Linked DNA regions of Drosophila melanogaster. The protein of the gene in region 2 purifies or fractionates together with the protein of the main gene of each other region. This does not show direct contact. Each region holds a gene or a part of one and is shown on either strand. Other genes may lie near its edges.

Region 1 (4,197 bases), on a different chromosome or scaffold from region 2:
ACTACCTTCATTCTTGTTACGTATTTTATATCCTTATTAAAGAAGAAATTGTATTCCTAAAACAGGAGGCCAAATCCAAGGAGGAGCAGGAATTGATCTACGAGCACCAGGAGAGTCTGGAGAAGGGCGAGAAAGTCAAGGTGACCAACGAGAACACGGGCGTGGAGCACATTTTCAACAGCAAGACCCTCAAAGATCAGTACGGCAATTATCCTGCGTGGTTCAAGAAGAAGAAGACCGCCAAGCGTCTAAGAAAGAAGCAGCACTCGCAGAAGAAGAACTTCAAACAGGCCTGGACCACGGTTAATGTTCCCCTATAAATCCGGGGCTGGGTTACCCATCTGGTATCTTATCGTAGTTTATAAGTCCTCGCTTAGTTTAGGAGATTTTGTAGGCTTTTTCTACAAAGATGTTATAGCTAAGAGTATATATTGCATATTAAAGCCCAAACAAGTTCTGAAAAACCCAGATATAGTCTGAACTTCTCAACATGGCAATCAAATAGTATCATTACTTTTTTAAAGCTACGAGTTATTATTGCATATTAAAGCCTTAAAATCTACACACATTTGCGGTGTCATGTGAACAACAAGTATCCAACGCTTAAACTAAAGTGCAGTTACATTATGCTCATTAGCTCTATTGCACGTGGAAAATCACAAAATGGGGATATTGAACTAAAATCGTGGTCAAATTTCTACTGAACGGAACAATAGCTGCGCACGCTGCAAATCACTCCGTTGGTGGCTGCCTCCAAACGTCGTGTGTTCGCCGACCATATGTGCGTGGTGGCCAGAGCCGTGGATGCGGATCGGGCACTTCCTCCTGCGGGTCATTCTGGCTTCTCTTTTAGCTCCAGTCTCTCAGTTGACTCGCTATCCGGTTCCACCTGCTCCTCCTCGATGTTGCCATGCATTACATTGGGATTGGCCTTTAGCACAGAGCCACCGGTGAAGCCGAGGATGCCACATCCTACTGCCGCCAATCCTCCAGCTTTCATGCCCGCCACCAGACCAATGGGTCCTCCCACACAGGTGCCCAGAAGAGCTCCGACTACGGGGTACATGGCCTTCTTGTAGGTGAGCGCCCGGCGCAGATTCAATTCGCCCTGCTGGACATTCTCCAGAGCTTCCTCCGCATTGTCTGCTATCTTTTCCACCGCCACTGATTGCTCTGCAGTCAGTTGACGCATTCCCTGGAACATCCCGTGCAGATCGTAGATCTCCTGTTGCAGGTTCTCCATCTGATCCAGGCAGGCTTGCCTCTGCGCCAATTGGTGTTCCTCCAGCTGGAAATTGAGTTGCAGCTGGGGCATGTGGCGGTGTGCGGGTAGACTGTTCATATCCACCTCCTGTGGCTGATTGTCCAGATCGTCGTCGTACTGAGAACTCAAAGTGGAGGTGGGTGATTTGAGTTGGAGCTCTAAAAATACAGTAGGTGTGTTGGTAAAGCCGAAAGAATTTAGATGGCATTTCAAACTTACCCGCAAATTCCTTCATGCCAGCGAAGGCAGTATCCCTGCCAGGTTTCATTAGGTCGTCGAAACGTTCCAGATCCTCCTCCCGTACTTTTTCTCGCAGTGCATCCATTTCCAGAAGTAGATTCTTGATCTGCTTAATGACCCTCATAGCATTGAGTTCCTCCTTTTTGATTTTTTGCCAGTCGCCGAGCGCCAGGCTTTTTTCTATATTGCTGCGATGGTTTTTCAGTAGGCTCAGATGGTGGGGCACCTATGAGTGTTAAGGAATTAGTTCCGCTCTTCAGAAGATATAGTAAATAACCTACCGCCACATCCTGAAACCTTTGGATGGAGACCTCCGCCTGTTTAAGTGGCAGTTTCTCATCGCGCGTCATCGTGAACTGAATACTTTGAACTCGCAGCGCTTTGATTTTTAATCAGTTTTAATTGTGGTAAAAGTGAAATCTGGGGGATCAGTTTCTGTAACACCCCCCGCCCCTTTTTAACGATGGACCTTGCTTAACAGATTTCCCTGGTTTTTCTGCGCAGTTTTTGCTTTGTTTTGCCAGTGACGTCACTGCTTGCTTTTCGGGATGTTTCCAGTGAGTAGTGCTTTGTTGTTGTGAATGAAACTACGGTGGCATGGTTCCAATCATGCTGGTCTTGTCCCCTATATTTATACTGATAATAATTCTATTGTGCAGTCCAATTATTTGTTTGTTATTGGTGATAGAGATGGCAATCAGTTCGATACTAGCGAATATTGCGCAGCCTTGCCCACACTCGATATTATTCTTACAGTTATCGATTGTCTCCGCTGGTGGGAATCCCCGCTAAAAGGTCAGCTTACAGCCGAGGTCATAAAAATAGTTGTTGACTCACCATTATTGCATTTAAAAGGAAAAATAACCAAATTTTATGTTGCGCGTTAAGTTGTAGCCAATATATAAAAGTAAATATTGCAGCACTTTACCTTTTTTTTCATGATAACTTCCAGATAAATAGATTTCCTTTGTTAAATATCCCATGAAAGACCCATTAAAATCAGAAAATGCATTTATTCGTGCAGTGATTTCTCATATACATTAAAATTATATACAGATACATGCAGAAACTAATCACTGCACCACCCACATGAAGAGCGGTGCAGAGTGCGGTGGTGCGCTTACGTCTAAAACTTCACATCTCGATACATTTATGACACACGTTCTCGCTTAAGTACTAATAGCCCGATCCGTGGGCTAATTCTACAGACTACAGAGGCACTCGACTCGCATTCGGGAATGGCTTACAAGCAGGAGCATCTAGCTACACATGAACGGAGTGGTCAATTAAGTTAACTAACATTTAATAATAGCGTGGGGAAATGCAGTTCTGTTTAGGGGCAATTGGCATTGGGGCCATTCCGGCACTTCAGCAGCAGGTTCAGCATACCCTCCAGCTTGTTCGTCCGGGACTCTGTCTTGTAGAGATTCGTCTGCAGTCGACTGACATCCTGAGCCTGCTTTTCCTGAGGGCATACGAAGTAATCGTTAAAGTATGAATATTCAAATATAGAAGTTCAACTCTAATCCTTACCAGCGTGCTTAGCCGACTCTTGAGTGTGTCCACCACACTGTAGGTGGCCTGCAGCGACTTTTGCAGCTCGTTCGTGTGCACTCGCTCATTGGCCAAGGACTTTTCGATCTTCTGGAGTCGCGTGGCCACCTCCGCGTCCGTATCATCGATATCGTTCTCCAGATCCCGAGCCTCGAACGCATCGTCCGCATTCGTGGACACCTTCTTGCAGCTCTGCTGATCCGACTGGAGAACGAATCCCTGACGGCAGCGGCAGAAGTAAGATCCATGCGTATTGATGCACTGTTGATCGCATGGCTTCTCCGTCTGGCACTCGTCCACATCCTGCTCGCAGAAACGTCCTGTGAAACCAGTTGGACAGCTGCAGGTGCTAGGAGCCGTACAATTGCCACCGTTTTGGCAGCGCGCGGAGCAAATAGCTGTAAATAATTAGAAGATAAAAATATTCCAAATTCATTGCAATCTATGTATTTTGTTTAAGACTCACGTTTCATGCACGAATCCGACCTTGGGTTTTCCCGGCTCCATCCCGTGCAGCAGTCGTAGGTCATCTGCTGGGCGGTCTTGTGATCGATGACGTCCCTGTAGGCCTGCTCGTGGACCACCTGCACCCTGGTGCACTTCTGGCCACTAAAGGTGGGCGGCTGGCAGGGCGTGGCCACGTGCTTCCAGGTGGGACGACTGTAGACCTCCGTTCGCTTCACGGGCATCGTAACCGTTCGCTGTTGCATGCAAATGTGCCGCCTGCAATGAGTAGCAAGGAAAACAAACCAGAGCGAGGTGTGAATCGAATAGGATTGGAATGGATTCGAGCGGTGTGGCTGACCCAAATCAGCGGCTCATCATCTGCAAAAGTGAAACTGACTTTTCCAGACGACTTCGCCCAATTACAGTCATAACGACACAGAGCGGCCAACAGGTTGTTTTTAGGAGTGGGATCTGGGCAATTGTCACATGTGTCTGGAAGTGCCAGCGGATTGGATTGGATTGGATTCGATTGGACTGGACTACGATATTAGCGTGTTCGCGTATCTGCGATGACAAACACGACACGCTCCCAGCCGATGACTTGCAGCCATGTCAGCCATGTCATTTGTTTGCCCGCCACTCGGACTCGGATATGGAGGAGCAGCCAGATGGCAGTTTGGCAGCCTGGCAGC
Region 2 (3,395 bases):
ACGTAGCTCCTCGCCGTCCACGTCCAGCGCATCCTCGTAGTCGCTGTCGCTGTCGCTGTCGAGACCCAGATCCCTGGCATGGTTCTGCTGCGAATTGTCGACCTCGAACTCAACGCCCTTTTTCACGAGATCCCTGCAGAATGAGTTGCACGTGGTCATGAGTGCCTTTAATATGTATCTTATTACTCACGAATAGGACAAGGGATTCTTGAGCAACTGTGGGGTGTACGGTTCGAAGTTTTCTTCCATTATCGCAAAATTTACAGAATATTTACGAAACGAATTCCGGAATGCGCTGAGTTGGCGCTATTCTTTTGGATGCGTTTGAGAAAAGAGCTTTCCAGCGATGGTATCAACTGGAATTCGATTGCTTGATAGCTTTAGCGAATCGATTGGTCGCTGTTGTCCGGAAGTTATCGAATTCAAACAAAGAACTATATATCTTTATTAGGGCGCGAGCACTGCAACTCGAGATATCTTCCGAAAATGTATAATGTATTCCAATCCAGACGGGGAAACACTAGGCCAGATATACTTGCTTTTTATATGAATCTTTATTTAAAACTGAACACTTATCGCTCTCCAACTACGAGCACTCCATTGAGAGAATTGTTTTGGTGTGTGTAACAATAAAAAACTAGGAAACATAATGAGGAATGCATTCTTAATGGCCTTGTGAAGTGCTCACCGTGCGATATGGTATGGCTAAGATTTGTATATTAAGGGAGGGCTATTCTAAGCAATGATCAATACAATAGTATGCGAATGCTCGCTTGTTCACTTCTTCAGAAGCTTGCTCATGTCCTTGTTCTGCTTGTGAATCTTCAAGTCGACATCCTCAATTTTGTAGTTCATGTTATCCAGCAATTCATTTTGCGACTCAATTTCGCCACCCAGATCGGTGGCCAGCATCTTCAGCACCGACAGGTTGCTGCACATCTCCTCCAGATTGGAATCGATCTGGGCCTGGAAGGGATTGGCCGCCTGTCGCTGGGGCTGGTAGGTGCTGCTGGGATCACCACGCAGCTGGCTAACCGGATGATTGTCGTAGCGCTCCGCTGGTGATAGCGGAGCCGAGGGGCTAGCACCGCCACAGGCACCCTGGTTAATGTTGCTATTGGCCTCCTGGGAGGACTGACTGCCCGTGGGCGAACCAGTCGCGGTGGGTGGTTGGTCCCTGTTGCCCGAAAGGTAGTTCTTGAGGCCGCCGAAGACACTCTTCAGACCAGTCAGATGGCGCTGGCTGAAGCGCAGCGTGGAGCTGATCTCGTCCAACTGATGTGATGTCTTCTCCAGTTGCTCCCGCTGCTTGGCCAGCTCCACGGCCGTCGCCTTACCCACCTCCTGGGTTTCGTAGAGCAGACCTGGGGGTTGTAGGAGAGAGACGCATCAATAACGCCCCTTAATTGGCTGGCAATTGACCCCATGTTTACCCAAGCTTTTGTTGGTAGAGTCCAGAGTTCGCTGCTCAATGGCCCTTCGCTTCTCAGCATAGGCCAGTCGCTGTGCGGCCACTGATGGCGACGAGGTTATCTCCTCTTCGTCATCGTCATCCATCTCGAAGGGATTGGTGCTCCTCTGCTGCGGAAGCTTGGCTGCTCCCGTCCGTTTGTTCTGCAGGAATAGGTCGTCGTCCACGTCCTCGAATCTGTCCACGTCATCGAAGTGATCGTGCACTGGCTGCAGGTAGTTATGGGCCATTTCTTGTGGCGAGGGAAACTTCCAAAATGTCGAATTTTGTTATGTTTTCGTAAACTTTTATTTTCTTTGTTGTTGTCTGGAGTTATCGATTGCAATAGCGATGGTACAAATGTAGTATTTGTATGCAGTTCAATCGACTTATAAATAGCTTGACATTGCAGAGGCTTCAATAAAATAAGTTATTATAATTAAAATGATTTTGAAGATACGATAAAAATTGAATTTGTATGTAAGAAAACTTGAAGCTTGATCTAATAAATAAAAAATCGTGTAACGAGCGAATACCGACCGAATCCCCCTACCGATGATCTAGCGGGGAATAAAGCGGCTTGCCATCTCCGATGGATATCGAACCAGCACTTCTGTCAATTTTCCAGCAGGCGTCGCAGTTTCTGTAACTTTTTGGAACTGACCAAGACGGAAGCTTTAGTTTAATTTAAGAAACTGTCGCAGCCGAACGTCACAGGTTTCAGGACACGAATCGGCGGAGCAAAGCACCAAAACATCACCACATGCATAGCACATCGTACTTTGTGGCCGCGACATGCGCGGCGCTGCTTCTGCTGGCGGCGACGGCGCAGTCGACGGCAGCAGCGCAGTCAGGACTGCAGCCAGGTGGCAAGTTAATCGAGTTGGACGAGGACAACTGGCACCTGATGCTCCAGGGCGAATGGATGATCGAGTTGTGAGTGCGAAAGGGTGGCTCTGAGTAGTCCCTACCCACATGAAACCCCGCTGCCCCTGACGTAACATAAAGGGGCGTGGTGCGCCGGCTTTCTCCAGCCGGCAAGCTGGTTCTTTCGTTCTCCGAAATACCAGACATTCCTTTGCGGCGACGATGACTCATCGGCAGCTGTGTTAAACATATGTTTCTCCCTCCATTCACAGCTTTGCTCCATGGTGCCCGGCCTGCAAGAACCTGGCTCCCACCTGGGAGCGGTTTGCCCGCGTGGCCAAGGATGTCCAGGTGCAGGTGGCCAAAATCGACGTGACAACCTCGCCCTCGCTGAGTGGACGCTTCTTTGTCACCGCCCTCCCCACCATCTACCAGTGAGCACCACATAGACCTTTTCAACCCATGAAATACACATCGTCGTAATCCACGTCAATCATTTCCAGCGTAAAAGATGGCGAGTTCCGGCAGTATCGTGGGGCCCGTGATGGCGACGCCCTCCTCTACTTCGTGAAGAAGCAGCAGTGGCAGAGCATCGAACCGCTGTCCGCCTGGAAGAAGCCCGACACCACCCACATGTCCGTGCTGTCCTACTTCTTCAAGCTTTCGCACACTCTGAAGGTACGTTCACCTAGCCCATTATCGCATCGGTTCACTGCATGAGACATAAGCGGAAGCTTATCAGCGGGTTGATCCCGTTGACCCACAAAAGATTGCCGCCCATCACTCATTACTCTGGTCTTTGCTCTCTGCTGTTGTCTTGTATGTTGGGTTCATGTACTAATAGCATACGCAAAAACTCTTTAAGGACTTCAACGGGCGCCTGCAGGAGGAATACGGACTGCCCACGTGGGGCTCCTACGCCCTCTTCGCCATCGCCACCATCTTCGTGGGCGCTGCCCTGGGGCTGCTGCTCGTGTGCCTTGTGGACTTTGTCTACCCACCCAAGAAGTCGCAGCGCCAGAGCTTCTCCGAGTCCCAGGACAATCTGACCGAGGGCCTGGAGGATTTGGCAACCGAG
Region 3 (6,376 bases), on a different chromosome or scaffold from region 2:
TATAGACAGCTTCATCGTTTTTGTTTTGTTAAACTTAATTTGGCTGCGAGAATTTGTGATAGTTATGTGAAAGTGCGGCGGTTGTGTCATTTGGTGAACCAAATGTCAAATTTGATCTACATACAGCCTTTGACATACTAATCAAAATCTATTTTGTGTGTCATGTACTCGCGTTACAGGAAAAACTGGCCAGATATTGTCGACAGCGACGACAGCGATGTGGATAATCAGATAGATGTGGACAACCTGCCACCACTGGAGGTGGGTCCCGGCGAGAACCGGCTGCAGCACACATACTGCCTCTGGTTCTCTCGCAAGGAGACGCAGCGCGCGGCCGCCGACTACAGCAAGTCGCTGCACATGGTCGGCCGGTGCGCCAGCGTGCAGCAGTGGTGGTCGCTCTACTCGCACCTCATCCGGCCCACCGCCCTGAAGCCCTACCGGGAGCTCCTCCTCTTCAAGCAGGGCATCATACCGATGTGGGAGGACCCGGCGAACAGCAAGGGCGGCCAGTGGTTGATACGACTACGCAAGAACAAGGTCGACCGGGCCTGGGAGAACGTTTGTATGGCGATGCTCGGGGAGCAGTTCCTCGTCGGCGACGAGATATGCGGAGTCGTGCTACAGACGAAATATCCGGTGAGTTCCAAAGATCCTATATAATGTCTTATTTGGGGAAACCATGCCAGAATACCTTTCTTAAAAATCGGTATTTTTAGAACCCATAAATATAGCAAACAATAGTAAATATCCTTTACAGGTATATTCTAAACAGATGGCTTAAACTATTTACTTTTCTTACTCGATTAAATCAAATTCGTTAGAAAATTTAATTGTAATAATTTCCTTCCAAGTTTCTATGTGAATTAGCATGTAATTTTCGTAACTTTAAATTTCTAATTGAACGAAGTGAATTTTTAAATATTGCTCCAATAGGACCAGTGTTGGGCAACGTTTCGTAACAGTTCACTACCCTTGGTGTTACTTAATTTTTATATTTATTTATAAATGCCGAGCATATATATTATTGCATTTTGCGGCCTATTCCCCAGTTCCTTTTCAGCTCGCGATTCGCTTTAACAAAAGTGCCGGTCGCGATTCATTCATGAAAATTCTCGCGCATGACGTATCTCAGTGCGAATGGGATCCACAAACAAACCCGTGCTGATTGTTGTTGCTGTTGTGTGGGACTGACGTAATGGAACTTATGTGGCGGCATTTTTAGCACATTTCAATACGCGTTTTGCAAAAGTGAAAAGACGAAAATGCCGGGCAAAAGGGAAAACAGAAACCACTTGCAGTTTGTTTTTTTTTTAACAATCAAACGTATAAGGCTTGCACAATAAAGTCTTGATTACATCAGCAAAATATTATCTTTTCCACGCTTAGCTTTTAAAATGAAGATGAGCAGATATCAATTAAATTATATAAAGAGAAATATCCTGTTCTATAAATAATATAAAATACCAAAATTTATAATATACCAGGAAGAGATTGCAGGAGCTCCAGCTCTTTCTCTTAAGATCCACATCCAAATACATCCACATAATCACTTGATTCGCGAATCATCGAAATTGTGAGAATTGGTTGGTGTCCCCGCTTAGTCCTGTTTTTAGTCTGGTATTTTTAGCTACTCAATGTAGTTATTTAATAGGAAATCATTGCGAACCGGAAGGTATATTCTGGTAGTGACGGCACGGTCACACTCGAAAATTGTTTGCCCGCGCGAGGTGCTGTGTTTCGTTTCGGCTCGCATCGAAATCACACAAAAAAAAACTCTTGGCCGCCGGGAAAATCGCGAAACAATATTTGGTTTTTTGTGAAAAAAATCAAAAAAATATTGTCAACACATTTGCCTCAGATAAATACAAAGAAATGTGCATGTGAAACGATTGGTGACAACAACAAATCGTGGAACCCAGACAACCAGTGTGCGAGAGCGTGATAGGTGGTCGTGCGTCCCTCTCAAACACACACCCTGAATCGGCGCCGACGACGCGTACGCAACAAACGAAAATAAAACGCAAGCGAAAAGGAGAGAGAAAGAACAAATAACGCCCACCGTAACACCCCCCGCGAATAAGAAGAAGCAAAGTAGATAAAGCAGAGAAAGACGAAGAAGCAGCAGCAAAAGCAGACGGCAGAATTGGAGCTTTGCGCAGAAATCGATTTTTTGCCCATTTTAAGAGATTTTCGGTAGCCTCTCCCACTGCCGAAAATCGTTTATTGCCACTGCTGCGTGCGTGTTTGTGTATGTGTGTGCGTGTGCCAGTGCGAAAGTGAAACAAACAAATTCGCCGAGTAAAAGATTAATATTATATGGTACCAGTGTGAGTCACAAATAACAAGAGAGAAAAAAACAGAAAAAAGAAAAATTAATTCAGCAGCAGCTTTAGCTTTTTAGCTGCTGGCATTGAAGAGGTGCTCTGCCGCAGTCGACGTCTCTGCCGCCGCCCGCAACACGAGCTCTCTTTGCCTCTCTCTCCGTCTCTCTTGTGAGCGAAATAACACCACACCAAACGACACACACACGAAAAAAGCATAATAATATTAACCAAAACGCCAGCCAAAGTGCCAGTTAAGTTATAATTATACACTAAAAGTAAACCGAGCAAAGAGAGAGCTGCCAGCCAAAAGCGGAAAATCAATAAAAGGTCTCTCGCAAAAGTGGAAAAACGTGCAAACAAGTTAAAAGCAAGGCTGCAAAAAAAGAAAAAGGAAAAACTCCGCGCGCGTTTACACGTGTGGTTTATGTGTGTGTGCGTGTTTAACGTTTAACTGCTAATCGCAAAAACGCAATCTGCGAAGACCGCGTAACAAAGGCTTACGTAAAGCTTGGCCAAGGGAAAGAGCCAAATAACAACGAAGCATAAAAAACAATATTTAAAAAAATCCAACAAATTTTGAAAACTGCACCGTAAACAAGGATAGTCCCAGAAATTCGAAACTCCCCAATTATCAAATCGAGAATAATCTTCTCGCACACCCTTCAAAAACCAGGATAATACCCCGACACAAAGATGACTAAAGACAGATTAGCCGCTCTCCATGCCGCCCAATCCGATGACGAGGAGGAGACGGAGGTGGCCGTCAATGTGGATGGCCATGATTCCTACATGGACGACTTCTTCGCCCAGGTGGAGGAGATCCGCGGGATGATCGACAAGGTGCAGGATAACGTCGAGGAGGTAAAGAAGAAGCACTCGGCCATCCTGTCCGCCCCACAAACGGACGAGAAGACCAAGCAAGAGCTGGAGGATCTGATGGCCGACATCAAGAAGAATGCCAATCGCGTTCGCGGCAAGCTCAAGGGCATCGAGCAGAACATCGAGCAGGAAGAGCAGCAGAATAAGTCGTCGGCGGATCTGAGAATTCGGAAGACGCAGCACTCGACGTTGTCACGGAAATTCGTCGAAGTGATGACCGAGTACAATCGCACGCAGACCGACTACCGAGAGCGCTGCAAGGGAAGGATACAGCGTCAACTGGAGATTACCGGACGACCGACCAACGACGATGAGCTGGAGAAGATGCTGGAGGAGGGCAACTCGTCTGTGTTCACGCAGGGCATCATCATGGAGACGCAGCAGGCCAAACAGACGCTGGCGGACATTGAGGCCCGCCACCAGGACATCATGAAGCTGGAGACATCGATCAAGGAGCTGCACGACATGTTCATGGACATGGCCATGCTGGTGGAGTCGCAGGGCGAGATGATCGATCGCATTGAGTACCATGTGGAGCACGCTATGGACTATGTGCAGACGGCAACTCAGGACACCAAGAAGGCGCTCAAGTACCAGAGTAAAGCCCGACGAAAGAAGATCATGATACTGATCTGCCTCACTGTGCTGGGCATCTTAGCGGCCTCATATGTTAGCAGTTATTTCATGTAAATCTCGAATGCAATTACTTACACGCCACATTCACTCCACACACACACCTCTCCACACACACACACATTATATATCTCATCCAGACCCGATCTATATACATAGGATGTTGCGCAACCCACCCAGAGAAATTGCAGAAGACAAAATCGAAACTTAAACTGTAAGAGACCGCAACCAGTGAACCCCCGATACAAAAAAAAAAAAGAAATGCACACGAAATTAGGGCTCGATTACACCAATTATAGCTATTATAATATATAGAGAAATCATGTATGGTTAGTAAGCAAGAGTCTCAAGTCCCCAGAGTCTATCCCAAAAACACATGAAACTCAAGTTATAGCTACCAGAATCTTTAGTACTTGTAAACAAATTGCTAATTGAAAATTTATAAAACCAATACGAAGAGAGTTGAAACACAAAAACTACAAGACACGTAATTGCAAACAAAGAAAACATGAAATTTTATTGATTATTGTTATAATGCGAAGCAAAAAAAAAAAACGAGAATTGTAATAAAAAGAAAGGAACAACACTACTCCACTCAAAACACACACAAAACACACTCATTGCAAATGCTTTGCAGGGAAAAGTGAAAGAAAATCTTGTTGATTTCCTCGTCGTTTTTCCGACTTTGAAAATGCATTTAGTTTTTGTTCGTTTAGCTAGTTTAGTTCTCCTGTTGAAAACTCACACAAAAGTAGCCTCATCACTCACACACTCACAACACCGATGAAGAAGAGAAAGATGCAACAAATCTCTAGTTCACTTTTGAATATTTATGATAAAAAGATTGTTTATTATGCGATATAATAACTATATTGACTATTTACTATAATGCTATTTACTTAACATGTTCATATTTATTGAATGCATATGAAATATATAAATTATACAAACACAGCGCATATATATATATACAAATATAAACCTAGATAAATAGCTAACTCGGACATTCTCAATGGAGATGATAATGCGAAACGAAAACATGAGAAGTTGAGGAAGTTGATGATGGAATGCCGATTTTAAAGGGGTAAACAATTCAATCACACTCACATATATAGACAGCTTCAAATTAATCGGCAAACAGTTAAATTTAAAGTTGATTATTCAGTTTTTTTCTTTGTTTTGTTGCGCAAACAATTGAACAAGTTTTTGCGTTTGTTGTTTAATCTACCGGAAAAACTAGTTTCCTTTTGTTGATTTCCGTTTTTTGTAATCGCCAGAAAAGTTAACAGAAATTAATGGATTTCGGTTTCAGCTATGATTTCATTTCTCACACTCACACCGCACCGCACACACACAGTTTGTAATACTTTTTCTTTCTAATTAACCTAATTTATTTTTCCTTTCTTTCCTCCCACCGATCCACATCTGAAAAACTAACAATCGGAATGCAAATTCAAAACTATACTACTCATACATAACATCTGGCATGCGGCTGTAAAATCCAATTTAACAAATAAAATCAAACCAATCAACTCAACTTTTTCTGCACTCACAATGAAAAACGAACAAATCATATAGAATCCAAGCATCCAAGTAGCATGCTCATCAAGGCCTATAATCTGCATTATCTACACACGTTTTGTAGTACAATTCGGAAAATGCAAAATCATTATAGTTACTAATAACAATAAACGCAATGTGTATGAGTTTTTGACAATTATTGTGATTAAGATACACGAAGAAATGCTTTCGCTTCTAAGTAGGAAATGCAAATTTGTTAATGCACCAAACGAACTGGTCACGCGAATTGGTCGATTTCTGTTTTGATCACACGAAATTACCAACTGCAAATGTCAGACCTGCATTACATGCACGTTTATTTCTTATTCAATTCGTTAATTCACCTTTTGATCTTTTGAACGAGCAACGAATAAATGGGAAAATGAAAACCCAAAACTGCAACTACAACAGCAATAGCGCAAATCAGCACGTTTTCACCACAAAAACAAGAGCAACAACAACTGCAAAAAAAAAAAAAAAACACCCAAGTTAACCGAACGCGTTCAGTGAAAAGAAAATCAAAAGAAATATTACTACTTCGTATTATGTCAATCAATCAAACTGCGATTTAATTTTAACCACATAAAAATGCAATCTAAAGGCCCGACAAATTCGAAAAATGATTAAAAATAAACGAAAAACGCGACTCCGCCCTGCCACGCCCTTACGTTCATTGGAAGTTCCAGTCCGGGTTCCAGTGTTCCAGCGCTCCTGACCCGCAGCTTCCAGCGCGAAAAACAGCTGCATTGCTCCATTCCCACACGCTGAGGTGAGTAATACGCTATAATTATTCAACATTTAGCATTCTTTTTATCGGCAATTCCCGCAATTACTCTCTCTACGTTTACGTTTTCCCTCGCGGCGACCATTGAAAAATCGCCGAAGGTCGCGTTTCCATGTCCTTTAAAGTCCCCATCGCCACCCTCCGCCCCTTTTTGAAACACCCACCCGCCCCCTTGAAGTTCCGCCCATTTTCT

The links. The genes of interacting proteins can lie anywhere in the genome.
Region 1: the proteins of Snap29 (region 2) and Syx17 purify together in Drosophila melanogaster (affinity purification with western blotting; 4 studies listed by BioGRID, with this or other methods). This does not show direct contact.
Region 3: the proteins of Snap29 (region 2) and Syx1A purify together in Drosophila melanogaster (affinity purification with mass spectrometry; 3 studies listed by BioGRID, with this or other methods). This does not show direct contact.

What each region holds. Positions count from the first base shown.
Region 1 is NT_037436.4:4,401,484-4,405,680, reverse strand, and holds Syx17 (syntaxin 17), read right to left. Parts: upstream 2,195-4,197; 5' UTR 1,855-2,194; coding exon 1,786-1,854; intron 1,731-1,785; coding exon 1,484-1,730; intron 1,423-1,483; coding exon 833-1,422; coding exon of another isoform or gene 698-832; 3' UTR 513-697; downstream 1-512. Other genes in the region: CG15019 (uncharacterized protein), read left to right, coding at 66-320; slow (slowdown), read right to left, coding at 2,838-2,969, 3,038-3,456, 3,525-3,781.
Region 2 is NT_033778.4:23,842,946-23,846,340, forward strand, and holds Snap29 (Synaptosomal-associated protein 29kDa), read right to left. Parts: upstream 1,819-3,395; 5' UTR 1,702-1,818; coding exon 1,434-1,701; intron 1,365-1,433; coding exon 778-1,364; 3' UTR 538-777; downstream 1-537. Other genes in the region: shu (shutdown), read right to left, coding at 1-133, 191-249; CG5554 (uncharacterized protein), read left to right, coding at 2,214-2,386, 2,590-2,751, 2,821-2,995, 3,162-3,395.
Region 3 is NT_033777.3:24,101,088-24,107,463, reverse strand, and holds Syx1A (syntaxin 1A), read left to right. Parts: upstream 1-1,700; 5' UTR 1,701-3,020; coding exon 3,021-3,892; coding exon of another isoform or gene 3,893-3,896; exon of another isoform or gene 3,897-5,417; coding exon 5,418-5,436; coding exon of another isoform or gene 5,437-5,666; 3' UTR 5,667-5,864; downstream 5,865-6,376. Other genes in the region: CG10694 (uncharacterized protein), read right to left, coding at 1-15; eIF4EHP (eukaryotic translation initiation factor 4E homologous protein), read left to right, coding at 180-639, 5,418-5,666.